Linked DNA regions of Astyanax mexicanus. The protein of the gene in region 1 interacts with the protein of each later gene in a pairwise test. Links are inferred from orthologs where the notes say so. Each region holds a gene or a part of one and is shown in the gene's direction. Other genes may lie near its edges.

Region 1 (7,638 bases):
CTCACCGGTTCTCCTGCCAGGCATCGGGGGCAGCACTGCGGACCGCCGCCATTCTGAGCTTCCAGCACCTGTTTAAAATAAATAAAGAAATAAATCTATTAAAATATGATCATTCTACTAGTTAAAACTTATGTCTGTAAGTTTTGTGATTTAGGAGATTTAGCGCCTCTCTGGTGAGAACGGGTAATTGCACTGAATATGCAGAAGAATCATTTTAAACTGGGTGGGTGTGATGCGGTCTCCTTTTCAGAGCGGATGAATGAATCCGATTCCAGGTTGTGTTCAGACAGAGAGAGAGAGAGAGAGCTCAGTCAGAAACTTCACTCCTTCGTTTCTTTGGTTTTACTATGAGTGAATGAGCTACTAAGCTCTGAGTTTCCTCTTCTGAAGTCTCCATTGCTCCACCAGCCGCTCACGTTCATTAAAACTGAACCGGATCCTCTTTTAGAGGCTGTACGTGTGACGTACTGTAAGTACGTAAAGACGCATGACGTGGCCAGAAGAAAAACTCCTGCGAAAAGCAACCCAACGCCCCAGTTTTTAGAATGAATATATTATAAGGCCTAGCAGGGATGGTCGTTCCAGCAGAAGGGTACCATTAAACACTATATTTTTTCCATATTCTTCTCCACTCAGAAATGCTTAACTGTTAAATTATTGCCAGAAAATTCTATTTATCTTATGACCAATTATTTATAAACATAAACTAAATAAACATGTTGCTTATATAAGGTTGCATCACATTTCATTTATTCAGAATGTATTTCTCAGAGCAGTAAAACCATGTTATTTTGTTTTGTTAGTTTTGTGTTCCTGGTTAAAGATGACTGACATACATTGGCTGGCCAAAAAGTACAAAAAAAAAAAAAAAAAGAAAAAGTTTACACACTGCTTAAAATAATATTTCGTTGAACAAAAAATGGCTGTTGATTGGCTTAAAATAAGTGACTGACATCAAAAGCGGTTGTGTGATTGGCTTCAGTATAAAATGATTAACACGTCCTAAACTCTTTGCTTATGCCCACTGGTTCTCCCACTGGCCTGCACTAGCAGAATTCTGTCCTTTGGTGTTCAGACAATGCAACTGCATGATTGCATAGTGACAGAGCGTGGAATTATCTGTTCTTGTGATGCACATTGTGTTTCTTTTCCATTGTGATGCATTGTTGAACCTCTATTAGACATTAAGTAGTAACTATAAACTGATAATAGCAGGTCTTTTTACAATGCTTTTTCAGGGCAATCTATTTTATAATATTTAATTTTGCTGTGTATATTTGAAAAATAAAAAAGTTGATTTCTCTGAGCTATGACCAGATTATTTCTTTCTTTATTTCTTACCATATGCAACTCTTATCCTCTGAGTGCACTTTGAGCCCGTGACTCATAATTGCTCGAGTGCACTCTGACCAGTGAAAACAGGCAGTAAGGAAATAAGCCAAGGTCAAGAACCCTACCTTATGGTGGTGGTGGTTGTTGTTGTTGTTGATGATGGTGGTGGTGGTGGTGTCCTTCAGATGGCTGACCTGCTGGATCTCCCATGTGTCCATTGGGCTCTCGGTCAGGGCTCCATATTCAGCCTGGACACAGCTTTCCAGTCCATTGCACACTCTTTTAGTCTGACAAATACAGACAGAGGAGACAACCTTGTGTTTTTTATCATATATCTTCATCAGATGACCTCTAAAAGCAGAGTGCACTGTGGGGCATGAACCAGCATTTCCTACGGGTGTGACATCGTATGCAATAATATTGCCAACATTTTTTAATATGGTGATTATTGATATTATACCCTGAAACATGGTGCCATTTCACCAATTCCTAATTATCACATCAGGGTTCTACTTTTTCCCCCATTATATATCTACTAGAGACAGATTATATCTGTCCAGTATCATTTATTCTACTTTAATCCTGGATATATGGAGATATTTGGAGTGCATTATTATCAGTATCATGACTGATCATTCTGGATCATTGACTTCTGTTAGAAATCTGATACAATTCTTGTATTTTTTTTTTTTTTATATCTCTGTTAGGGGTGTGCCATATCATATTGGATGCAAAAAAAAAAATAATAATAATACAAAAAATGTGTTGCAGTAGTGTATTCTTTAAATATTTCTTTTGTAATTCAGTGTTTTGTCATATAATAGCTAGTTATCTGAGCATGGGAAAATTAACCAGAATAAATTACCTTTCATTATATTCTATTCTATTCCAAGTAAAGCTAGGCAATATGTAAAAAAAAATAGCTAACAATATTTTAACACATTTTCTTAAAAGATCTGCAATAATATGCAGCTCTGTAAAAAAGTAAGAGACCACTTAAAAATGATGAGTTTCTTTGATTGTGGAATATAATCAAGAGGAAGATGGATGATCACAAGTCATCAAACCACCAAACTGAACTGCTTGATTTTTTTTTCACCAGGAGTAAATCAGCATAAAGTTATCTAAAAGCAGTTTGTAAGTCTGGAGTAGGAGAAAATGATGCCAAGATACATGAAAACTGTGATTAACAAACAGGGTTATTCCACCAAATATTGATTTCTGAACTCTTAATACTTTATGAATATGAACTTGTTTTTTCTTTGCATTATTTGAGGACTGAAAGCTCTGCACCTTTTTGTTGTTTCAGCCATTTCTCCATTTCTGCTAAAATAAATGCTTTAAATTACTATATTTTTGTATTTGGAATTTGGAAGAAATGTTGTCTGTAGTTTATAGAATAAAACAACAATGTTAATTTTACTCAAACATAAACCTATAAATAGCAAAATCAGAGAAACTGATTCAGAAACTCAAGCGGTCTGTTTTGAGAGATATAACAAGAAATAAGGCAGAGTGAGGTAGTGGTCCACAGTTAACACTCAAACCTAACTACTTCTAAACCTGGGAAAAATAATTGCAGCCAAGCCAAGTGTGGAAAAAACCTTTCTTCAACTTATTTAGGAGAGATTTATTTATCTGTCAAATATAGACAGAGGAGATACCCTTGTGTTTTTCATCAAATAACCATATAATCTTCATCAGATGACCTCTAAAAGCTGAGTGTACTGTGTGGCATTAACCAGCATAACCCCTATAATTTATTTCTGCTAATAATAGCTTTGTCAGAGGGCCACACTACCATGAAGGGCAGTGCAGGAGCTAGGTTAGTTATGTGAGCAGAGGGGGGAAATGAACCAGAATAAATGACCTTTAAGTGCATTACAGGTTAATGATATCTGCAATGCTTTTAAACGTGAATAATGGATTAAAATAGATGTTATTTACCGGATTGAAGCCCCAATCTTCTGGATCTCCTTCTCGGCCTCTCTTGTTCTGCAGTAGTGCACTCATATAATCCATAGACATGATGATGAAGGGGGATCTTTATTCCTTTATCTATCCTAAACTAGTCCATGAACTATAAAAAGAGGTAAAAACTTCCAATATCCTCTAATACAGACCCGAAAAACGAGCAAACATAAAGAAAACCCCGGTAAAACAACGTGTCAGACCACTAATCCAGCTAATTACATGAATTAAAGCTCTTAACGTTCACCTATTCCCTCTATAGCTTTATTTAAAAAGGCAAAGCATATAATTACATAAACACTTTAAATAATCACTAAAAACATAAAAACAACGTGTCCCGCCTCCAACCTACGCTTTCCTCTGCTGTGTGTAACAGTTACTTCCCCCTGTTCAATTTTTCCTGGTCTGCACGTATCATAAGACAGACGGCTGTGTTAACCAATAGGGTGTAAGCATATGCCCTCGAAGGCGGGCCTATCACAAATGATTTTTTTTTATTGGCTGCAATGACTTTTAGCGCGAAAACGCGACCTATCAGCTTTAAAGTCACTTGCCGGTGTTTTATTTTTACTTATATAAATATATAATTATATAATTAGAATCAGTAAATAAATAGAATAGAATAGATACAATAGAATAAAAAAATATATAATAATAATATAGAACAAAATATAATTTACTGATTACAGTGATGAAACATTAATACACTATAAAAGAACAGTAATAAAGTCATTGCAAAGATGAGAAAAAATAAATAAATAAATAAAACAGTTTATCTCGGTCATGCAGCACTGCTACTGGACTAATGAACAATAGCGTATTACTGTTCTAAATCTTTTGACTGGTAGTATATTTAAATATCAATTAACCTTGCAACACTTTTGCACACACCAACGGCTTAAATAAATAGTAAATAGCAAAATAAATGTAATCTCAGTATTTGTTATTTGTTATTTAAATTATATTATTACATTTATTATGTAGTACCTCATATATTTATTTAAATATATATTATTTTTACTTATTTCCTCTGAATATATATACAGCTCTGAAAAAAATATAATAAGAGACCACTTAATTATGTTTTTGCATTATTTGAGGTCCGAATGAGCGGCATCTTTTAGTTGTTATTTCAGTCATTTTAAATGTTGTCTGTAGTTCTGTAGTTTATAGAATAAAACAACAATGTTGATTTTACTGAAACATAAACCTATAAATAGCAAAATCAGAGAAACTGATTCAGAAACTGAAGTGCTCTCTTATTTGTTTTTTTTTTACATAAACGATTTAACTCTCGACACTGCACACAATCCGCGGTTTGATTAGTAATGCCTTCACGGAAGGAAAACACTGGGAATCGATGAGCGGATACTTTTGTCTGTGATCATGGCGAACCTGACGGACGCAGCGACGCCGAAGCAGTTTGAGGAGCTGCTAAAAAATGCCGGCAGGTAAATAAAATACCTCCCTGCGGGTTAAATTCAGCCCGGACACAGCGCGGAACACGTTCAACCGCTTAACCAGTGGGTAAATAGCATAAATAACCCGGTCTGAGAGCGAAACGGTAGACGGTAACGGAGCTAAAGTGAAGTTAGCCGTTAGCCTTTAGCATTTAGCTCCGTTCAAAACAGCTGCAGCAGCAGCAGCATGTGAGCTTAGCTGTGATAGCTTCAATATTTAATTATGTATACTCTTATAATCCTTTACTATTAATGATGTATTACTGAATACAGTTAATGTACGGGTGTAGTAGTTTAACTGAGGGGTTTTAAGAGCATAACAGTCATGAAAAAAGGAGTTTTAAAACGAATGTAATGGTAAGAATCGTTGGTCTATAAATTCTATGGTCTCATCTAAACTATCTGACAGGATAAATACATTAAAAATGCAGCTGGAGCTGTTCTGCAGGTAATTAGAAAGAACCAGCAAAAGGAAAACTGAAAGTGAAGCTTTGGAAGATATATATATATATATATATATATATATATATATATATATATATATATACATACATACATATACATATAACTCTGGAAACAAAAACTAAGAAAACACTTCAGTGTCCTAATAATTTCTGATTTTGCTGTTTATATATATGTGCTTAAGTAAAATGAACATTGTCGTTTTATTCTATAAACAACTATGAACAACATTTCTCCCAAATTCCAAAAAAAATATTGTCATTTAGAGCATTTATTTGCAGAAAATGAGAAATGCCTCAAAAAAAAAAAAAAAAAAAAACATGCAGAGCTGTCAGATCTCAAAATAATGCAACAAAAATGCAGAGTTCATATTCCTAAAGTTAAAGCTAAAGCTAAAGAGTTCAGAAATCAATATTTGGTGGAATAACCCTGCATAACATTATGCCACGCCTGGTGCAAAAATCAGGCAGTTCAGTTTGATTTGAAGGCTTGTGATCATCCGTCTTCCTCTTGATTATATTCCAGAGATTGTCAATTTGATAAAATCAAAGAAGCTATTATTTCTTTTTTCAGAGCTGTGTTTGATTTAGACAATAATCATATATTTCCTTTGCAAACAGCCAATAAACTTCAAGAACACATAGTGATGTTCAAACATCTGGGGTTGGTGGATAATCCATAATCTGTCAGTGGCTGGTGTATATATATATCAGTGTGTTTGTAGTACAGTTTTGGATTGATGATCGTTACACATCACAGCTGCTCTCTCTGTATTGTGATTGGGCTACTGATTATCTGTCTATCTTTTTATCTTTTATCTATTTAAATATCTAAATAGCTGGATAAACAGTCTTTTATACAGCCTCAGTCTTTAGTGGAGAATCTCTATTGGAATCGACACACTTGGTCTTGAGGTCAGTGCCAAGTATCAGCAAGGGGTGTAAATAATAAAGTGTGAACAGTAGGCCTGGGTTGTCTGCAGTGATGGAATGGAAGCAGTAAAATGGTGCAAACTCCCTGTTGATACATTTGACTTCAGAAGAAACCAATGAGCAGTTCTCTACACACTTTTAATGCATTAAATACAATGCATTAAAGAACTATTAAGGATTATATTATCTGTAATAATCTGTGCGTGCCCACAGCCATTCCCCAGTCCCATTTCCACACCCCGGGCTTCCAGGTATAGAACACAACAACTGAACTTTAGTAAGGTCCTCTAACCAAGATAACAGAGTTATATAAAATTCCATGATTTGTTTATTATGTGAAAATAATAAAATCATTGCAAGCATATACATATTGCTGATCAGCACACAGAGTATGAGTTGTCACTTTCCAGAGACCCAGTAGGGCCAGTGGTTTGGTGGTTCTTGGTCTGGGTCATGGGAATCCTATACCATATATCATATGCACTACTGTGTTTTCCATTATTTTACAAACTTTACTTACTTAACTACATTGATATTATGGGTCTAGACCCAGCTGACATTAGATTTAATAAAAATGAAAAGACTAGGGATGCACTGAAATGAAAATTTTGGTTAAAACCACAAACAAAATTCCTTGAAATTCCTTTTTTGCCGTCTAGTCAGAAAAAATCTGTGCATCCATTAAAAATTCATACAATAATATATTGATACAGTGCCCTCCTCCAGCAATTTTAGAAATTATCTTAAGTTTTAACTATACTGCTTATAGATATTTTATTATTTGGTCACCAGAACAGAACACTTGCGGTGACATAACTAACGCATGATTGTGAAAGTGTTGCTTATGGTGGTTATTTAACACATCAGTACTAAACCCCTTACTTCAGTTTTCAGGATCATGAATAATAATTTAAATTTAGGATTGTCTCAATGTTTTTTTTTTTTTTTTTCTTCTTTTCTCCCAGGTCTCTCACAGTTGTCCATTTCCACGCACCATGGGCTCCACAATGCTCTCAGATGAACGATGTGATGAAGGAGTTAGCCAAGGAGCACAAACAGACCATGTTTGTCATGGTGGGTTATTGAGTATATGTAATTTAAGCTGAATTAATTACTTTGAATATAAAAGAGATTGCTTAACTGACTGTTAATGTAATTTATCAGTGCTTTATCAGTGGCAAACTCCACCATTATCTCTATTTAGTAAGAGGAACTTTGTTTCTGTTGGAATCAGAGTCAGTAAAACAGTTTTGAGGATATCTGAATCAATTATAATCAAAAATCTTATTTTTTTAGGCCATAATCGCCCAGCACTACATCAAAATGAGTCAATATTATTTAATACATCTTGTTTTTAACTAACATCACAAATTCTCACACAGGTGTATACACACACATACACATACATATACACACTGTTCCAGACCCACACCCTCCACATTCTACGCAACCTCTGTAATAGTTAGTGGACCACAGAGACT
Region 2 (7,539 bases), on another chromosome or scaffold:
ATACGGCATCACGGCATGGTACGGGGGGTGCTCAGCAGCAGACAAAAGGGCGCTGCAGAGGGTGATCAGCACGGCCCAAAGGATCACTGGCTGTTCCCTGCCCAGCCTTGAGGATATTGCCACCTCTCATTACATTAGCAGAGCTGACAGTATCACCAAGGATACATCCCACCCCAGCAACTATTTGTTTGACCTGCTACCCTCAGGCCGGCGCTACAGGTCACATAAAATTCGGACAAGTAGGCTCAGGGACAGTTTTTTCCCAAGAGCCATCACTGCACTGAACAATAAAAAACAATGGCAAACAAAAACGTACAATTTTAAACCCCAGGAGTAATATAACGTGTGCAATATATTTGAAGTGCAATATTTTGTGGATAGATTGTACAGTGTATATCTTGTTTTTATTACATTTAATTTCTGTCTATTTTATATTTGTTGCTTTTAACTTAAATTATTTTTCTGTTTAATTTATACAACAAAGGCATTTTGGAGAAGCAAATCCAATTTCATTGTAATGCAAATTATAATGACAATAAAGGCGATTCGATTCAATGTCACTAAATTAAAATTTCCCTCACCAATTTTTAAAAGATCATATCACCAGAAATAAAATCACATTACATGAGTGCATATCAAACATAAGAAAAAAATCTACTAAATTTAAAGTTTTAGGTACATGTCTTGTCAGGACTGAATTTACACAGTCAATAGTATGATTAATCAATAGTAAGCTTTCATAATGGAAGTCCATAAGTCCTTCACAACAGCACGCATTAAACCATTTTAATTGTGTGTTAATGAGATCTTAATTTCATACACGATCACATGACTGCATTTGTTAATTAGGCTGTGATTTTTTTTGTTTTTGGTTTTAAAAAGGTGATCATCATAATCAAGGCATTCTTAAATATCAAGTATCAAACTGCACATGTGTCATGTGTGTGTGTGTGGAATGCTCTTGCTCTGACCTTTTTAATGAAAAAAATCTGAGTTTCTGTAACAGACGTGATGTTGATGTTCCCTCTCTCTCACTCTTCCAGGAACGAGTGTGTGTGGGGGGGGGAGTAGGGGTATTGTGATGTGGTATTCTGAAGGAGCTGCATTAGGAGCGTGTTTTAAAAAAAACACGACGAACTGTTAAAAAAGGTCAAATGACTGAAACTTAATAACATCTGGATCTTTTTCATATACGAACAGTGAGGCCTGATTAAATAATTAAACTTGAACCTGAAGGATTTGTCTGGATTTTAAATTGGATTAGATTTAGATTTTTAATAACATTTCCAGTTATTTTTTAATAGTGTTTGAACAACGTGACTAAATCTGAAAGATCTGAAGGTACGTTTTTGAGTATTTTTTTCCCCAAAACATTTTTATGTAGTTCTATACTGTTTTAGAGTTATAGCATAGCAAATCATTGATAACCTTATTTCTACAAAACTAGAATTTTACAGGGGAAAAAACTTTTAGAGGTAGACAAAAAAATTCAGTTTGAATAGAGGTCAATGGATAAATCATAATGGAAATAGTGTGTATGTGTAGAGTGTAAAATTCTAAATTGTTAATGGAAGTAATGTAAGACAGTAAATCTTCAATTCCAGCCACTGTAAAATATCTTGCAAAAATCTAAACATTGAATAGACGTTGATATAAAAATCATAATCATAACTTTTCCAGTGGACCCACTGCCTGCATACCTTCATACGGTTCACCAACACAGTGACTGCAGGCTGTGCTGTTTGATAATAGTGTGTGTGAGTGTGTGTGTGTGTGTGAGTGTGTCTGCGTATGTGTGTGTTTATGTTTATATAATGCTTTGTGAGGGTTTCAGGATTTTGCAAAAAAAAAGAAAAAAAGAAAAAAAAGTGTATTTGATCAGAAAGCCTGTGATTAGTATTGTGTGTTAACTGTTACAGAATGAATGGACAAAAGAAAACAGCTATAACTGCAACAGAAATTTAAATACAATAGTCCAATCACAATCTGACTGACCAGTCTATTGTCTGATCTGTTTTAGTGAACATAGCGTATTATATTCAGGGTCAAGGAGCAAACAAAATTTACCTGTTTACTTTAAAGAACCACAAGAACAGATACAAAAAATATTCTAACTAACATGATGAACTAAATGTATGAGGGAGACTCTTCTATTAGATTTTTTACAATATTAAATATAACCAAATTATTTTTTAAAACAGGTTTTTTATTCATTGATTTATAATTTTCTCTCATTTTCTCGCCGGTTTGGAAGGTGAATTACCCCACCCACCTACTTGGGTGTCCCAGTATCACGGGCAATGTCCCCAATACCAGAAGGGTGAGAATCAGCACATGCCTCCTCCTACACATGTGAAATCAGACGCGTGGAGAGAGCGCCATCTACAAACCCAGAGAGAGCAAGGCCAATGGTGCTCTCTCAGACTCCGGCTGCTGATGGCAGCTGAAAAGCAGCATGATACAGAATTCAAACTGGCGATCCTCGGATTATAGAGGCAGCATCTTAGTCTGCTGGATCACTCACAGTCCCATTATAGAAGAAAAATGGTTAAAAATTACTTGAAAATGTTGGTTTAAATGGTATGCACATACAGCTCGGGTAAGAGACCACTTAATGATGAATTACCTTTGGAATGATAATCAAGAATTCATTTATGATCACAAGCCATCAAACCAAGCTGAACTGCCTGAATATTGCACCAGGAGTGCCATAAAGTTATCTAAAAGCAGTGTGTAAGACTAGTGGAGAAGAACATGCCAAGATGCATGAAAACTGTAATTAAAAAACAGGGTTATTCCATCAAATATTGATTTCTGAACTCTTAAAACTTGAATATGAATATGAACTTGTTTTCTTTGCATTATTTGAGGTCTGAAAGCTCTGCATCTTTTTGTTATTGCAGCTATTTCTCATTTTCTGCAAAAAAAATCTCTAGATAATAACATTAAAAAGGGGACATTAGAGCGGGAGTGTATTTGTGTGTACTTATCTCTTGTTCCTTTCTGTAAGAAGTTTAGGGTCCAAACGGGTGCAGTTGAGAGATGATGCCTGATTTAACCCCACCGGGAGGATCCACTGATGTGGAGGGAAAGGGGCTCACTCTTCTCAGGGGAACCTATAAAATGAAAAAAGTCACTGATAATAATAATCTCTGATCCAGTGTGAATGTGAGTGGTAAGTACGCTGATGTTGACCTTGATCCCCAGTGACCTGATCTTGACAGCTGTAGAGCTCCTCTATAAATAAAACAGCCTCTGCCAATGAGGAAGCTCCAGTCCTATTGGCTTTGTCTGTATCTGTTTTAAAGACTAGAAATGAAATACAATCTATAGATATAAAAACAATGCATTTTATTTTTTACTTCTTCATTTTACTATTATGTGAGATTAAACTGTGGTGAAGCAATATTACTACTACTACTACTACTACTACTACTACTACTACTGTTCTAAATCTTAGTTTTTTATATCTGAAAGTGTCTCTTACACACTGATTATGCCCCTTATTGTGTTCCAGTGTTTATGTTAACATAAACATACTGCTGCAGCCATGCCACTGGACTTCGTTCAGGACTGTGTGTGTGTGTGTGTATGTGTGTATGAGTGTTGCAGAATGCTGAGAGACTAAGAGATTAGATTAGTTCTCATTCAGCCTCTACAGGAGTGCAGGTCTAGAGAGAGGGGGGATGAAGACAAAGAGAGAGAGAGAAAGTAAGAGAGAGAGACAGAGATAGATGAAGACAGAGTTAAAGAGAGGAGAAAGAGTGAGAAAGGGAGACTGAGAAAAGGAGAGAGCAAAAGAGAGAAAGAGAGAGAGAGAGAGAGAGAGAGAGAGAGAGAGAGAGAGAGAGAGGGGTAAAGTAAGAAGGAAGAAAAGGTGGGGGGAGAGGAAGGGAGCATGACAGAGAGAGCTAGAGAGACGGAAAGAAAGAGGAAGAGAGAGAGAAAGAGAGTCAGGGAGAAAGAAGGAGAGAGTGAGTGAGTGAGAGACAGAGAGAGGAGAGAGAGCGAGAGTGAGAGAGAAAGAGAGAGAGCGATGGGGAGAGAGAGGGAGAGGGGAGAAAGAGTGAGAGAGAGAGAGAGAGAAGTAAAGTAAGAAGGAAGGAAAAGTGGGGGAGGTTGAGGAAGGACATGACAGAGAGAGAAAGAGATAGAGAGAAGGAAGGATAAAGTGAGAGAGGGAGAGATGGACGGGAAGAAGAGAGAGCAAGAGTGAGAAAGAGAGAGGGAAAGACAATGAGAGCAAGCGAGAGAGAAGAAGAGAGCGAGAGAGAGGAGAAAAAGTGAGAGAGAGAGAGAAAGAGAGGTTAAGTCAAAAGGAAAGGTAGGAAGAGAGAGGAAGGGAGCATGACAGTGAGAGACAGAGAGAGAAGAAAAGAGAAGGAGAGAGAAAGAGATGGGGAGGAGAAAGAGAGAAAGAGTGAGGGAGAGAGAGGTACAGACAGAGAGAGCAAGCGAGAAAGAGAGAGAGAGAGAGAGGAGTAAGAGTGAGACAGAGAGAAAGAGATTGAGAGAGGGAGAGAGAGGAAAGAAAAAAAGAGAGAGAGCACCAGAGAGAATGAAAGAGAGAGAAATAGATGTAGAGAGATATATAAGATATATATAAGATAGAGTGAAGCAGATAGAGAAAGAGAGAGGGAGCTGTAAGGAGAGAGAATAAAGGAACACTGGGCACATAGCGATCAGATAGCTCCTGGCTGCTGATTGGTTCTTTTCTTCAGGGTGGTCCTTTTAAATGTCCCTCCCCCTGTGATTGAATGGAGGTGAGGCTTTGTGTGTGTGTATATAAAAGTGTGTAAGATAGTGAGTGTGTGTGTGAGCACCTGTGCGGGACTGTTACTGGCTGCTAAGAGGAGACAGACTTCAGCAGGAATCATCATCATCATGCTACTAAAACTCTTCATCCTCCTCCTCCTCCTCGTCCAGGATCAGGTGCTGGCTGGAGAAACTCACTCCTCTTCCTCTGAGGAAGATGGCAGCAGTGAGCATGATGATGATGAGCACGAGAAAAGTGAGTAGGCTCAGCTAAACATGTTTCTATCTTTGTCAGTGCTGATTTAGGTGGACCTAAAATATCTTGAAAAGTTTATGTTAGGTATCAGAACTTTATTTTGGTATTTATTTTAGTTTAAATAGTTCATTTTTGTTTATTGAGCACTTTATAAGTTTTGCAGGGATGTCTGAGATTTGGATAATGAAGCTTTAACTCTCTCATTGACTCTTCTCATTTGCAGTAGTGAAATTTATAGTGATCAGTCAGAAATAGGCACCCAGTTTCAGTTTCTCTGAGCTTTTATAGTCATTCCAGTTAATTTAGTGTGACACTGATGGGGGTTTTCATGATGTCTTGGTTTTTGCTCCCTTTGTGTTCTGAGGACAGGCACGTTGAGCTGTGAAACTGTGAGAAAATGATGAGCTGTTCCTCATTCTTCTGTGGTCATTTCTTCTCTGAATCAGTATTCCTGCAGAGGGTTTTACAGGGAGAATATGACGTTACTGTTGGCATAGTCATCTACATGTAAACTTGTTCAGTACAGATAAAAAGAGGTCAGCAGTATAGCTTCTATATAGTACATTTATGTGTGTGTGTGTGTGTGTGTGTGTGTGTGTGTGTGTGTGTGTGTTACTGTCTAGGGAAAAACATCTATTTCCATTTTTGACATTATTCAATTTACTTTATCATTTGAACTCAAAAGTTGTCCATCACATTTTGAGAGAAAATAGATGGACCAATAGAAATGCTACAAAATTTATTTTCTTTTAAAAAGTTTAAAACCACCTTCACATTTAATGTTTCTTATTCATATGTATTTTTTTATACTTAGTAGTTTCATATTGGAGACATCAAACCTATGAAGGAACGCATGTGGAATTATGTAGTCAACCAAAGTGTTAAAGTAGAATATACAGCTCTAGAAATATACAGCTCTCTTGTTTTTACCGAATTGAAAACCTCTGGAATAAAATAAAGAGGAAGATGGATGATCACAAGCCATCAAACCAAACTGAACTGTTTACATTTTTACCAGGAGGGGCAAAAAGTTATCCAAAAGCAGTGTGTAAGACTGGTGGAGGAGAACATGCCAAGATGCATGAAAACTGTGATTTAAATCCATGGTTATTCCACCAAATTTTGATTTCTGAACTCTTAAAACTTTATGAATATGAGCTTGTTTTATTTGCATCATTTGAGGTCTGAAAGCTCTGCATTTTCTGCAAATAAATGCTCTAAATGACCATATTTTGAATTTGGGAGAAATGATGTTTGTAGTTTATAGAATATAACAATAATGTTCATTTTACTCAAACATAAACCTATAAATAGCAAAACCAGAGAAACTGATTCAGAAACTAAAGTGCTCTCTTAATTTTTTTACAGTGCTGAATATACATTTATGATGCACAGTATATATGTTTAGTTATGTCTAGTTTTAGAATTAAAGACATTATATTAAACTTGAATACACTGAATAGACAAGTGGAAAATATATTTTTACATATTTGGTAAATACAATGTTAAATTTACATATACATACATACTTATACATGTACACAGCTTTAATGCTAAAATCTAATATAATACATATCATAATATAAATCATAGGTACACTAAACACTGCAATAACTATAAAACACATTACAGACAGTGGTTATAGAGTACAGATATTACATATAACTGTACACCCACGTGTTCAGTACAGAACAGTGTGGAAAAGCTGTTGGTGTTCAGTCCGTTATTCAGATTCCTGCTGAATGAATGAGCAGCGCTCCCCCGGCTTATCCTGGAAACACAGCTGGTGATGCCAGAGGCTTCTGCTGCTGCTGCTGCTGCTGGTGGTGGGGTTTGGCTGGTGGGAATGTGGTGTACGTGCTGCTCTGGAGGTACAGGGTGATGTGTCAGGCTGAGCGGCTGCTCTGCATGAGGCATCAGAGAATCACACAGTAAAAACACACACACTATAGATCTCTCAGTAACTCCGAGAGGACATGAAGAGTCATGCATTTCACTCTGACCTGACACCACTTTTACTGTTTCTGCTCTTAAACTTAAGCTTGTTAATCCAGCAGGGAGAGCAGGTCTGTGGAGCCATAAAAGGACATTTCATTTCATTCCAACTTCTTCTTTTTAAATACACAAACACACACACCTTTCTATATATACAGATTATGAGAGCACTTCAGTTTCTGAATCAGTTTCTCTGATTTTGCTATTTATAGGTATATGTTTGAGTAAAATGAACATTGTTTTTGATTCTATAAACTACGGACAACATTTCTCCCAAATTTCAAATAAACATATAGTCATTTTGAGCATTTATTTGCAGAAATGAGAAATAGCTGAAATAACAAAAAAGATGTAGAGCTTTCAGACCTCAAATAATGCAAATAAAACAAGTTCATAAACATATTCATAAACTTTTAAGACTTCAGAAATCAATATTTTGTTTTTAATCACAGTTTTCATGCATCTTGGCATGTTCTCCTCCACCAGTCTTACACACTGCTTTTGGATAACTTTATGCCGTTACTCCTGGTGCA
Region 3 (7,588 bases), on another chromosome or scaffold:
TAGCGCAGGGCTTCTTAAGTCCAATATTAAAGTGACAGAACATACAGTATCTACAAGCAAGTCATCATGTGTTGATCTGAAAGTATGCAAGCATCAAGCGTAAACAACCTACTCACTGCCCGAAAGCAAGACATGTCCTAACATGACTAATATTCAACCTGACGAGTGAGATTTCCACCAGATTAGCGTCAGTAACATTTAAAATGCTCCACCTTATGTTTACAGTAAGTGAAACTCCACCTAACATATTTTGAATTTAGTTTGTAAGTATACCAGCCAAAAGTATTGTCTTATTCACACACCTCAGCTACACTTATACACTCTATCTTAGTTTTGTGTAACTTTTTTTGTTTGAAATCTGGGGTAAAATGGTTTTGGGGTGTAGTGAAACATGAAAGAGTACTACTGACCTTTTTTCTTTTTTTTTGTCGAAGAGCCCACCTTTGTTTAGAGGTCTGCACTCCCATTACATTACATTACATTACATTACATTACATTTGGCAGACGCTTTTGTCCAAAGTGACTTACAATAGTCAAGTACAAAAGTAATAGAAGTTAAAGGTAAAACATTTTTAGATAGGGCTTAAAGGAGGTCGAAGGGAAATGAGGGGATAGAGGACTGAAGGAGGGGAAGAAGGAAATGAGGTAAGAAGTAGTTAGTGTGTTAGAGGTGTTAAGAGAGTAAGTGCTCTTTGAAGAGCTCTGTCTTCAGGAGTTTCTTGAAGATAGCGAGAGATTCTCCTGATCTGGTAGTGGAAGGTAGTTTGTTCCACCATTGGGGAACTCTGTATGAGAACAGTCTGGATTGCTTTGTGTGAATGTTTGGCAAAGCGAGGCGACGTTCATTGGAGGAGTGCAGCGGCCGGGAGGTAGCGTAAGCCTTCAGGAGTGATTGCAGGTAGGAAGGAGCCTGTTCTGTCATCACCTTGTAGGCGATTGTAAGAGCTTTGAATTTGATACGAGCATCTGGTAGCAAATGGAGCTCAATGAGCAGCGAAGTGACATGTGCCCATTTTGGTTGGTTGAAGATCAGACGTGCTGCTGCGTTCTGCATAATTTGGAGTGGTTTTACTGCACAGGCCGGGAGGCCAGTTAGCAGGGCATTGCAGTAGTCGAGGCGTGAGATGACGACTGCTTGTACCAGGAGTTGGGTGGCCTGTTGCATCAGAAACGGTCTAATTTTTCTGATGTTATAAAGCACAAAGCGGCAGAATCGAGCAACTGAGGCCACATGGTGCGTGAAGGAGAGCTGGTCATCAATCATAACACCCAGGTTCCTAGCAACCTTTGTCGGTGAGAGAGAGAGAGTCGATGCTTATAGAGAAGTTGTGTTGAAAAGATGGGTTTGCACTCCCGCGTCAGAATATGTTGCGGCGCGCTAGAGAACTGAATTGTTATTGGCGGGAGCGGGAGTTTAATCAATCCAGGCAAAGCGGGAGCAGGACCACGTTAACATGTGGTCCCGCTCCCGCAAATTATTAAATCGCTAAGAAAATTATAATAATTAGCGGGCGGTAACGGGACAAAAACACATGGGACCGGGTAAAAAAAGCAGTCCCGCGCAGATCTCTTGTTTACTGTTAACATAAAGCCAGTGTTAAGTCTAGAATGTGTCTCCGTTGTAATAAACTAACAATAATCAGCACTCCACAGCGCTGTCGTTATATTAGTAAGGTACATTAATGTTAATCTCATTGATTTGTTATAAGTTAAATTTACCTGCTTCCTGTGCGTGGGTAACGTAAAGCTAAGCGCTCTGTTTCACATTAAAAGTCCACGCTAAATTCCGTGCTCTGCATTTTAAAAATAATTAAATGACTCCTCAAGACACAGAAAATTAATCGATCAATTTTTTTTTTTTAAATCAAGTAACTCGAATTACTTGAGGAATCATTTCAACCCTAGAAAACTGTAAAATTGAAAGATGGCTCTAGTACCCTGGTGGATGCCTCTAGCCTGGATACAATATGAGATACTGTTGGGCATGACGACAAATAGGTTTCTTTATGGTATCCTGCAGCACAGTTGCCCACAGATTTTGCAGCTGTGCCTGTAGATCCTGCATCCTCAAAGTTTTCTAAGGTCTTTATACTTATTTTCTCGGTTTAGTAATGTGTCTGCTCTTAAAGTCGACTGCTTCGTAGAGGCATCTCCCACCAAGAGGTAAACTGCACAATTGTTTTATAAGGCAGCGAAGGAAGCAACTTTACACTCTTTTGTGGCCAGTACCTAATCAGACCACACCTGAAATCATTTACATACCAGTCTGAGACTACATGCCGAGTTTTGCATCAATCTGAATGGGTTATATTTGCTGCTGTTAATGAGTGTTTTTGACTTAAAAATAAAAAGTTAAACTGGGTGGGTTAGAGTGAACTGAAAAACATTTAAGAGTATGATGGTAATTTTGTGGTTAATCTGGAAACACATGTTCTTTTAGTATTGTTTTTCTCTGCATGTAGTCCTCTTGAATGTTAAAAATACAATTTAGTTATTCTCAGAATAATCATAAAACTATGAAGGGAGCAAAACACATTTATAACCTTTTAAGTTAATTGCTGTGATGTAGCTTATAGCCAATAAATGCTTCTGACATCTGCTTCCTATCACCATCACTGAGAGTACGTTTGACCCGGTATTTTTCCTAGAATAGAGAATTTCACGCCAAACTACTTAGAATGCCATTGTTTGTATCTTGATTATCTTAATGGCATACAGACATTAAAAAATACAAACTAATAGTTAAATAGTTAATCCAAAAAAAAAAAAAGATTTTCTAATTAAGTTTATCTAATCAATGAAAAGTTAAATTTACACTTACACTGGTCCACTATAACCTATATACCTCACTCATTCACTGTCTGGAAAACTGCCCAAAAATGTTTAACTAGTTAAACTAGACCACTAGATCCAAAGCACGACATTTACAGGTCTCTCAGACCCATTCATGTTTTATTTATTTACGTTTAATTTAATTCAAACAAGTTTAACTCGATCCACTAGGTCCACTAAAATATGAGCAACAATTTTGTATGTATCAGTCCCATTCAGTTGTTTAAATATTAATCCATTCAACTGTATAACAAGCTTTAAACTAAGCTTAAAACAAACCACAATAATCCTTTTGACAGTTCAGAAAGTGAAAATTGGTCAAAATAGTCCAGCAGAATGCAATGTAAACTTTTATACTGGGGCACTAGAATCCTTCACTCTAAAATGTTTAGACTAGAATTTCCCCTCGGGATCAATAAAGTATCTATCTATCTATCTATCTATCTATCTATCTATCTATCTATCTATCTATCTATCTATCTATCTATCTATCTATCTATCTATCTATCTATCTATCTATCTATCTATCTATCTATCTATCTATCTATCTATCTATCTATCTATCTATCTATCTATCTAGACTAAGTTCATAATGCTGAAACTGGTTAAATTAGTCCAGCAGAACATATAAATAATAGTGAGGCACTAGAATCCTTTTATTACTCAAATTTTTTTAAGATGTTTTCACACATGACTGGAGTCTGCACCATCTGTTACATTGTGTACAATTGGTCCGGTTAGTTTTGGTTTCACAATGCAGTTTAGTGAGCAGACTATTGAACTTTACTACATGCTGTCATCTAAGTGTAATTACGATACATGGCAGTAGACAATAGCTATTTTATTAAACGCGAGATGACGACCAGAGGACCATGAAGTTCAGTGAAAAACTGTAGGTAATTCAGCCTTCTTAGAGGACGTCTAAAACAAAAAACACATGCACGGTTGTTCCGGACGAGAATAAAATCACAGAGAACCCCCCTGTTAAAGAGAAAATTATCTCAGGACCCCCTGAGAAACTAATCCCGAGATAGGGCTTTAGATTAAGTTTAAGTATATATTAAGCATATCTACAGCATAAAATTGGTTACATTAATTCAACAGAACCTTAAAATGCAAACATTTATATTCGGTCACTACAACATAACTTTTCCATCACTTTAAAACTTTCATTACTCTATAAAGTTTCCCAACAGTTTCTCAGACAGGGATTAAGTCTAGCCTTGGACTTTGTAACAGCACTGTAACTGGAGATTTTTCTTTGAAAGAAAAATACAGTCTATGACTAGGTTTATCCCTGTCCGTTACACTGAAACAAAGAGCCTATACAGTAAATTTACCAGCCAGTGCTAATCAACACTGTTAGAGTTAAATTAAAACTGAGTGGAAGTTTCTCAGACAGGAATTAAGCCTAAATTTGGACTACAAAGCATTTTGATTGGATATTGTCCACTAAAAATCAAATATGGTGCGGCACTTGATTTAACCCCTGTCTGGGAAACTTCCCCTTATAGTTTTAACGTAGCACTATCAGTGTTGATTTAACACTGAGGGAATAATGTACACTGTACTGTTTAAACTGAGGTAAATGTATAGTGTTTGTGGTTTAACGGTCGTTAACGGTCGCTGAGCGCAGGTTCAGTTTAAATTTGAACTTCAAAACACTGGAGATTCGAGGCGCGTGCTGATAGGGTCGTTCGCGCCAAACATCAAAGCAGAAGGTGAAGCGCGCGGCGGTAAACAGCAGAGTAGACCAAAGCAGCGCGAGGGCGAGACACGCGGCTCAACATCAAAGGCATCAAACGCGCAAGTCACAACAGCTCTACCGCCGAGGAGGAAGTGCTGTTTTTCCGTGGCTGCGCGCGCGAGGGGACAGCAGTCTCCTCCGATGCGCTCGTGCGGGCTACACGCGCGGCTTCATGTGGCCAGAGCGCCTCGGACTCCTCTCGCTTTCAGCCCGGACACAACCACGAACTTCCCATAATAACATGCGCGAGACCGGGCTGCCCCGCGCGCTGCTGCTGCTGCTGCACGCGACGCTGCTGAGCGCGGAGAGGTCTCGAGACAGCAGCGGGTTCCAGCACTCCGCCGCGCTGGACGCCGGGGGGAGATACGCGCTGAAGTGGAGCTTTGATGAGACCAGCATCACGTTTGAAGTTGAGGCAGCAACGAGGGGCTACATGGGGCTTGGCTTCTCTCCAAACGGCGCCATGGCTTCAGCTGATCTTGTGATAGGAGGTGTTGCCAACGGGATACCTTACCTCCATGTAAGTTCACTATACTGTCTTACTGACCACTTACTGTCTTACTGCAGGGGCACAGTTGCTTAGTTTTTTTAATGAAAATTTTGTAGATACTCAACTCTGGTAAAGTTTCAAATAGAGTGTGCACCATACTGCACAGTAAAATTGTTAGTTTCAAATTTATGTCATTTGCACATCATGTCAGGACACACAATCATTAAAATGCTTGGGGTGAGGCTCAGATAATCACTTTACAGTAATATTAAACGGTGCAACATAGCAACAATAAAAATACCATACTATACAAAAGGATACTAACTCTTGTGTATAGGCAAATTAATCCAATAAGATATACAGTTCTGGAAAAAGAGAGCACTTAAAAATGCAACAGGAGTGGCATAAAGTTATCCAAAAGCAGTGTGTAAAACTGGTGAAGGAGAACATGACAATATGCATGAAAACTGTGATTAAAACCAGGGTTATTGCACCACCAAATGTTGATTTCTGAACTCTTGAAACTTTATGAATATGAACTTGTTTTCTTTGTATTATTTGAGGACTGAAAGCTCTGCATCTTTTTTATTTCAGACATTTTTCATTTTCTGCAAATAAATGCTCTAAATGACAATACTTTTATTTGGAATATCGGAGAAATGTTGTCAGTAGTTTATAGAATAAAACAACAATGTTCATTTTTACTCAAAAATATACCTATACATAGTAAAAAAAAAAAAAAGAAAAAAAAGAGAAACTGATTCATAAACTGAGTTTTTTCAGAGCTATTTATATTTAAAGTGAATTAGTAGTGATAACCATAGCAGTAATATATAAATAAGTTTTAAACCGACTTCACAAGCTCATTTATGGAATTGGGTTCTCTCAATCCTTAATATTTTTTTCTTTTTAATTAAAAAGCAGTAATGTTAAATAGTGTAAAAATACACAGAAAAAAATAAAACAAATAACTACTATTAACTATTGAGAATGACTCTGCTGTTTTACGAAAGTACAGATGAAGCCAGAGAGTACTATTGCCTACATCTTCAAAAAACTCCTGGAAACTCTTAAAGAAAACTGGTACAGGAAGCATCAGGTCTGGCTGACCCACATGGCAACAACACCTTTAGCTAAGCTTAACACTGGACTAAGTCTCAGTTTCAGCATTGAAGAGAAGAATTATAGGTCTGAAAGGTAAAGTGCAGTAATAAAGTTGAGAAGATTAGAAAATTAAAAAGCAGCTTTAGTGGATCATCATACAGCACTGCATATAGGCAACTAAAAATCTTTGAGCAATAGTGTATATTCATTCTTAAATTTAGGGTGTCTGGTAGATTCCGGGACATTTTTCTGGGTATAAGAGCATTTACTGGTTTCCTGAGCAACCATGGTGCTGCCAATGGTGCTGATACAAGACTTACTGTGAACACATAAATCAGACATGCAAACTCAGTCTTTATCTGTCCATTTACACATCCTTAAACCAAAAAAATGCAGAATTAGAACTGAAGAGAGCTGAGATCAGAGACCTACAGAGTCCTAAAATCACCAGATTCGTCCACTCTGAAAAGAGACTGCACCACACTGCATGTTTTAAAAGTATTTTTTAGGATGCTCAGTGCAATTACAAATTCTCACTTTTATTAAACTCAGTAAGTTTATGAAGTTAATGAAGGTTATGGCCATATAGTAAAGTATAGTGTAATTATTGTGTCAGGTGTTTTCTGGACTGAAATGTAAGTCATACACTGCCTACACTAAATATATACTACACTGCCTGGAAAAAAAAAAAGTCACCACCCCCCAAAAAAAAAGGTCACACTATAATATTTTGTTGGATCGCCTTTAGCTTTGATTGCAGCACGCAGTCACTGTGGCATTGTTTCAGTAAGCTTCTGCAACATCACAAGATTTATTTCAATCCAGTGTTGCATTAATTTTTCACCAAGATCTTGCAGCAGCATTGATGATGGTAGAGTCTGACCACTGCACAAAGTCTTCTCCAGCACATCCCAAAGATTCTCAATGAGGTTAAGATCTGGACTCTGTGGTGAACTCTCAATCCATGTGTGAAAATGATGATCTCATGCTCCCCGAATCCTGAACTCTTTCACAATTTCAGCCCCATGAATCCTGACATTGTTATCTTGGAATATTCTTGTATCATCAGGGAAGAAAAAATCCATTAATGGAATAACCTGATCTATATTCAGTATATTCAGGTAGTCAGCTGACCTCATTCTTTCAGCACGTTCTGTTGCCAAACCTAAACCTGACCACCTGTAGCATCAACCCCACATCATTTACTTACTTAAATCCAATTGGAGACTTTTTTGACCAGGCAGTGTATATATTTTTTATTTTAATAGGAAATCAATATTCAAAATGAGTTGTGGAGGCAGTCCTTGCTTCTTCATTGTGGTTACTTGGGTTAATATATTTTTGCACTGCTTGCACTAACACAAGCTTCATGGGACATAATAAACCCTGGAATTTAACAGGAGAGCAGATTTAGA
Region 4 (7,021 bases), on another chromosome or scaffold:
TGTCTATGAGATTTGCAAATCGTTGCATTCATTTTACACAGCATCTCAACTGTTGTGGTGCTTAACAATGCTGCTTTTTGTTTTAATATTACTTTGAAAATGGTAGAAACTCTTAAGAAATTATTGGCTGCAACTTTTAACCGGAATTACGCACAGGCTAATGAAGTAATTATACCTCTAAACCTGATAAATCTCTTTTTTTTTGTTGACAAATCATTTTATGCTTCCATTCTGTTCTAAGTAAACCTATGGGAAACTCAATTTTCATAGAAAGTAGTGTGCTATAGCCTGCACGTTTTCTGCCAGACAAACTGTAAGAATCATTTACTTCTCAGTCACGACACAGACGTGCAAAGGTTAATGGCTTGATGCTCACCTCCACCGGCACTGCTGTTACTCAGCAGAACGCTCACATTGACACAATAGATAGCAGCAATCTAAAATTAGTTTGCCTTTAGATCAATTCAAGGAAGATAACCACTTCCTCCTACTCTGCAGGAGCGGAGCCGGAACACAGCATAGAACTTCCCTTAAGATTCATTAGTATAGAACATGTGTGAACATACTGCTGTTACTGTAAATACACACAGTAAAATCCACTGAGACTTGCATGACTATACTGTAAAATGTACTTTTTAGACTGTGCTATTGTTCTGTTTGAAGCTGCAGGTGATAGCTAGGTTCCTCAGTACAGATGTCAGAGTAATTATGAACCATGAGATACAACAGTTTAAACACTCTTAAAAAAAAAAAAAAAGATTCTTGTTGCTGGTAACAGTCTGGATGGTTCTTGTCATTTTTGGTCTTGCACACATTGCATCTGTTTCATAAAAACATTCTAGAATTCTCACTCACCTGACTACAATACACAGTGTGAAGGTCTATCCCAGATGCCTCAGAGCTCAGTGAAGCTGACACTGTTTCTGGACATGGTTAACATTTTAAATGTATCTGTAGAGTAGTAGCAAACTATCAGCTATTTTTGATTTTTTTTCGGTTCTTGATGCAGTGCTGTCTGAGGAATCGGAGAGCTTAAGTATTGAGCTTACCCTTGCTCTTTATGCACTTACTTGTGCGTCTCAAAAAATGTAATTATCATTGAAAAGTTACTTTATTTCAATAATTCAGTAAAAAATGTAAAAGAGATATATTTAAGGCTATTTCTTTTATTGTTGTTGATTATTGGCTTACAGCCAATGAAAACCCAAAAATCAGTGTCTCAGAAAATGTGAATATTGTATAAGACCATCTGGTACTTTTGGCAGTGTGGGCAGTGTGCCAAGTCCTGCTGGAAAATGAAATCTGCATCTCCATAAAAGCTGTCAGCAGAGGGAAGCATAAAGTGCTGTAAGATTTTCTGACTTTGGACTTGATTTAACACAGCGGACCAACACTAGCAGATGACATGTCTCTCCAAACCATCACTGATCATCAGTAAATGTTGCATTTTATTTAAAATGTTTGGAGAGAGACACACAGTTCAAACTGCTTGAGGTCTAGTGTGAAGTTTCCACAATCAGTGATAGTTTGGAGAGTCATGTTATCTGCTGGTGTTGATCCTCTGTGTTCTATCAAGTCCACTTATTTGATATAAAATGATTTAGTGTTTTTTTTTTCCTCATTACTACTCTGATTGTCCTCAACAACCAGATGTTTCAGGCCTGCAATGCAAGAATTGTTGTAATTAAATAAACATTAAATTAAGATAAAATTTAGAACACAAAATATGAAAAGTCTTGGGTTCATTCTCTCTGCAAGTCAAATTAAATGCTCATGTGCAACATGTTCTAGTTTGTATTTGCATTTCCTAAACTGTCTCAAACTTTTCTGAGTTAATTTGGGGTTGTAGGAGTGTGAAGAATGTTTAAATTGGTACTTTCTTTCTAAAGTGCACTTTCTTCAAGAGACTTTTAAAGGCTTACAGAGACTTTAAGCTTTTAAAAGGTTTTTGCACACAAACAAACACACATACACTGACGCGCACACACGTCTATTACAATCATGGTTTTCTTAATGGACCCAAAAGATTCATTGCTCTATTGGGTCCTATTTTAGCAATCTATACACAAGCTGTCAACAATGCACCATTTGCTATAGTTTGCGGGGTGTAAGATAGCAGTGAGCATCGCGAAGCATCTTGCGCAGGGTGCCCATAGATTCTGACAAAATTTTACTACAAAGGACATCATTTTTATGTTTTCATTTTAAAATGATTAGATTATAGATCAAATTCACATTTTCTCTTATCAGGGATAGGGATAATATCTCTTTTATAAAGCTTTATGTAGATATGTCTGTTGGTAAATATATATATATATATATATATATATATATATATATATATAAACTTGAACTTAAAGTAGACCTGCACTGCTAAAATAACCTTTTGTGGCACTTAAACTGTCTGTTTTTACTTATTCAAAATTCCATCTGGGCTTCTAATAGAATAATAGTGTCAGCGAGGTAAACTGATATAGGCTAAAAAAAATGGAATATTATATATCAATATATCAAGATATCATAGCTGTATATCTTTTATCCAATAAATACTACTTTTGTCTTTGTTTTTTGTGGGTTGCCTGTTATGTGTTTTATTCTGCAAAGTCAGAATCCCAAAGGTATGAGTAAGGAGATGTGTTGGCACATTTGGGCACTATGCAAATGAAGGCAATGTGTGTTTTCTGTTTTTTTTCCAGATGAAATTTAGATTGAACTGAACATAGATTGCCCCAGGCACTGAACAGAAATAGCATCACATGATTCATTAGTCTTTCTCTGTGGCACAATTCTAATTTTCTCTCTACTGGGTCGTGTCAGTAATGCATAAATTTCCCCATGGCATGCAGGTCTTTGTTGGATTTTATTGGTTGCCAAATGCTTGACCTAATTGCATTATTTGGCTCTGAACAAACATTTATTCCAACATAATCTGCACCTGCTTTCACACTGTGACCTGATAACCAGCCTAAATTTACCGCTGTTATTCACACAAGGATAAAAATGAGGAAATGAGAGTTTTGCACAAATCTTGTAATTGGATGCAGTGTTGTAGTTCATTTGACTATAGTCCTGGGAACAAGCATGACTGATTTAAATGATGCCACCACATTCTGTATATGAGGAGTACTACATATTATACATGTTGATGTTACTTTATTTCAGTAATTCAGTTCAAAAGGTGAAACTCATAAATACAGCTCTAAAAAATATTAAGAGACCACTTCATCAGTTTTTTTTTTATTTTGCTATTTATAGGTGTATATATATATATTTGAGTAAAATAAAACATTGTTGTTTTATTCTATTAACTATGGACAACATTTCTCCCAAATTCCAAATGCAAAAAATACCGTAATTTAGAGCATTTGTTTACAGAAATTGAAAAATGGCTGAAATAACAAAAAGATGCAGAGCTTAAATAATTCAAAGTTTTAAGAGTTCAAAAATCAATATTTGGTGGAATAACCCTCGTTTTTAAGTGGTCTCTTATTTTTTTCAGAGCTGTTTATACAAGACCATTCAATTCAATTCAGTTCACGCCTCTTATGAGCAGATAGATAGATAGATAGATAGATACTTTATTGATCCCCGGGGGGAAATTCTTGAAAGCAGCACCACAGAGATGCCAATTCAGTTATTGTGGTGACAACAGTGGCAAGGAAAACCTCCCTTACGTTAAGAGGAAGGAACCAAGACAAACATCACTGGCGTTTTCTTTGTAAATGAACAGAAATAGTGAAAATCACAAGAAATACTATAAATAGTCTTATTAAATCGCACGTTGTTTAAGCGGGACAGTGCAGAAAACATATCATTGTCATTATATGAGTCCAGAATCCACTATAGCGTCTGATTTTCCACTAAATTCACTAATTCTTTCTTGGCTCTATATGTGTGTAGGTGTGTACTTGTAGGACTGTTGCTGAGCACTCGCACAGACCAGCACGGACTGCCTGCCTGACTGCACACAAAGAGCTCCTACGACACTGGAGCTCACGCCCATAGACTGACAGTGGTGGGCGGGGTCTCGAGCCTCAGAGATCATGCTCACACTTTGATTCACATCTTCATCTCCCTCCATCGATCTGCCATCAAAGCGCGCGCTCCGGACACAGCCCGGTTCACTGGGGGCGATGCTGACATGGGACCATAAATCACCCCCCGGACTGTGAAGCGGGAGGCGGTCCGCCGATCTGCCGGAGCGGGAGTGCGCGAGCTCGACTGGCTGGCTGTCAGGACCGCCAGGTCCTCCTCCTCCTGGAGCTGCTGAAGTCATTCATCATTGCTACTGCTGTCTTATTCTTCTGTTAATAAACATCGTCTGAGTGAAGATTCCCCCGCGCGCGCGCGTGAAGATGTCTGATTCAGAGGAGCTCACGGAGTTCGGGAGCATTGTGGAGCGCATAGAGAAGGGAGAGGTAAGTGAGCAGACATGGAGTCCAGCTTCAGCAGCTTTTCTCCCCAGAAACCTGTCGAGGAGTCTGTCTGTGGCTGGAAACAGACGGTAACAGGCGAGCTGCTGCTGCGGCTGCTGCTGTACAGTGAAGCCCATGACTGATCATACTGATACTGATTTATTTATTACAGCTGCTGAACTCTGTTTACTGTACTGAATGAGCTTAAGCAGGAAAAATCTAAAAATAGGACACTTATAAAAAAATAATTTTGGATGTTACCTGATGTAAAAAAATGATGTACAGATATACTAATCATAGGCTTATAATGAATTGTGCAGTGGACAAATGTATAAGCAGTTTAATCCTGTAGAATAACTTATTTTACAATAAAATATAACCTGAAATGAAGTGTATTGTAAGTGTAAGTGAATGAATTTTCACAGATTGTCTGAACATGCCATTTTAATAAGAGCCACTTGGTGGCATGAGATGAAATAAAATAATAGCAGCCTGTAACACTGCTATTACTACTACTACTACTGCTAATAATAATAATACATATAATATTAAGATTGATTTATAAAGAATTTTCCATACATATAGGCCTGTCATGATAAATAATTACATTATCGCTTATTGTACAATAAATGGACATGACCTCAATAATATTTAATAATCATGATATCGTCTATTGTGTTTACTTGTATATTTGTTCACATGTATAGATGTAACATTATTAGTGAACAGTATTAGTTATAGCCAGTCATGCAATGATCAATGACCAATGCTTCAATAACTGTGACTTCATACACACAGTGTGGACTGCAGTAAGTGAAAAAAATATATATAGTGTATAGGTTTCCCAAACCAGTATTCATTAAAATATTGTTGTCTTTTAAAGAGTATACTTTCTTTGATATGCTATGAAATTCTATTGTGATTATATTAGAATAATCTATTGGTCTTAAAATGACTAAACTATCATTTATCGCAATCATTTCTGGGAAGATATATTGTCCACAAAAGTATAAAGAACACTAAACAATGCATCCCAATTGCATATTACATACTAAAACGATATGATGTGTGTACTATATACTGATCTTAAATGTGTGGATTTGAAATGTTAGTACACAAAATATTAACTTTGGGTGTGTCCCAGTTGCGTACTAGGTGGCATGAGAAGAATCAAAAATATGTAAATATTTTAGTGATTATAAGCATTATTTATGTAGTACCTTCTAAATATTACAGTGTAGCACAAAGTGCTTTACAATACATAGTAAAAACAGAAATAAAAAGTACTCAATAGCATAATATTATATCGCTGAAAAAAAGCAATAACAGGAAAATATGTTTTAAAACATGCATAAGGAAATAAAGAAACCAGTTCCACATTCCATTTGTGAACTTAACAGTAGTACTTTAGGTATACACGATACTCTAATCTAAGGCTATGTCTGAACTGCAGGAAATGCTGACTTGGTTCCTTACTTCCCACGCTCTCCCGCTTAGAAGGCAGTGTCATGATGGTCATGATCTGTGATCGTATCAAAAGGGAACCATATGTCCTGACATTGCCAGGGTATGAAAGCTCGCTGCTAGATGTGAGAGCTGAGCTGCACTGTCAGTAGCATTATATATTAGCATTTTCACCAAATAGATGAGATTACTGACCTTCGATTCAATCAGATCCACACAGCTTTAATACTGCAATTTTGGCAGGTTAGTCCAGAAAAATATTAACATAAGGTGTTTCCAAAAGTACGTACAAATTACTAATACTAATATTAATAATATTCTAATATTCCTGATGTCTGAAACACATTAGAAAAAATAAGATAAAGATACAATGAACACTACTGGAAAACTTGCATTTGGCATATCAAAGGTTTATCATTTCCTGTATGAAAAGGGATTAGTATCAAAGGTTTATCATTTCCTGTATAAAAGGGATTAGTATGTTAATATTGTGTGTACTAATCTGTCAATCCCACACTAGAAATGTTAGTATGCAGGTCATGTCTGAATTGCAAGAAATGCTGCCTATTCAGGCAAGATTCTGAAGCAGTCTTGCCTAAATCGAAGATCAGTAATTTGTCTTCTGTTTTACTGGTACAAATTCTGACAGCTAATGGCAACACAGCTAATCGCATTTGGTTATATTTGTTGAGCAGCATGGTCTTGCTGGTCATGCTGGTCAGACAGCTGGGTCGTTCTGGTTATCTAGCTTGGTCATGCTTGTAGACCAGCTAAACCACCAAACTTAAACAAAAAGCTTGAGCTGCTCATTTTTTTTTTCTGTGAGAAAACTGACATAAATGTACATTAATTAAAGTATAATCGGACAGAAATAAATAAATAAATTGATTAAATATCTGTTTATGTCCATATATTTATTAATTCGTATTTATGTATTTTTAATACGTTTTTTGGTTATTAATTTAACATGCTGATAATATGTTTTCGTCCAAATATTTATTAATATGTATTTATGTATTTTAAACATTTTTTTAGTAAACAATTTAACGTGTTGATAATCTCTCCTTTTTGTCCAAATATTAATTAATATGTATTTAAAAAAATAAATTTAAATAATTATTAATTTAACGTGCTAATAATCT

What was found.
Region 2: the proteins of glrx3 (region 1) and ca9 interact in binary tests that used the Homo sapiens proteins (3 or more experiments, as listed by UniProt). The two-hybrid records come from large-scale screens. The link is inferred for Astyanax mexicanus from reciprocal best matches to the Homo sapiens genes GLRX3 and CA9.
Region 3: the proteins of glrx3 (region 1) and moxd1 interact in binary tests that used the Homo sapiens proteins (3 or more experiments, as listed by UniProt). The link is inferred for Astyanax mexicanus from reciprocal best matches to the Homo sapiens genes GLRX3 and MOXD1.
Region 4: the proteins of glrx3 (region 1) and trim36 interact in binary tests that used the Homo sapiens proteins (3 or more experiments, as listed by UniProt). The two-hybrid records come from large-scale screens. The link is inferred for Astyanax mexicanus from reciprocal best matches to the Homo sapiens genes GLRX3 and TRIM36.

The regions. Positions count from the first base shown.
Region 1 is NC_064422.1:12,525,823-12,533,460, reverse strand, and holds the start of glrx3 (glutaredoxin 3), read left to right. Parts: upstream 1-4,626; 5' UTR 4,627-4,689; coding exon 4,690-4,754; intron 4,755-7,122; coding exon 7,123-7,231; intron 7,232-7,638. Other genes in the region: uncharacterized protein si:ch211-221j21.3, read right to left, coding at 6-68, 1,458-1,619, 3,280-3,360. UniProt on the Homo sapiens protein: Together with BOLA2, acts as a cytosolic iron-sulfur (Fe-S) cluster assembly factor that facilitates [2Fe-2S] cluster insertion into a subset of cytosolic proteins.
Region 2 is NC_064427.1:25,814,016-25,821,554, reverse strand, and holds the start of ca9 (carbonic anhydrase 14), read left to right. Parts: upstream 1-4,534; 5' UTR 4,535-4,884; coding exon 4,885-5,011; intron 5,012-7,539. UniProt on the Homo sapiens protein: Catalyzes the interconversion between carbon dioxide and water and the dissociated ions of carbonic acid (i.e. bicarbonate and hydrogen ions).
Region 3 is NC_064408.1:48,943,892-48,951,479, forward strand, and holds the start of moxd1 (DBH-like monooxygenase protein 1 homolog), read left to right. Parts: upstream 1-4,565; 5' UTR 4,566-4,751; coding exon 4,752-5,099; intron 5,100-7,588.
Region 4 is NC_064419.1:37,293,405-37,300,425, forward strand, and holds the start of trim36 (E3 ubiquitin-protein ligase TRIM36), read left to right. Parts: upstream 1-4,007; 5' UTR 4,008-4,355; coding exon 4,356-4,418; intron 4,419-7,021. UniProt on the Homo sapiens protein: E3 ubiquitin-protein ligase which mediates ubiquitination and subsequent proteasomal degradation of target proteins. Involved in chromosome segregation and cell cycle regulation. May play a role in the acrosome reaction and fertilization.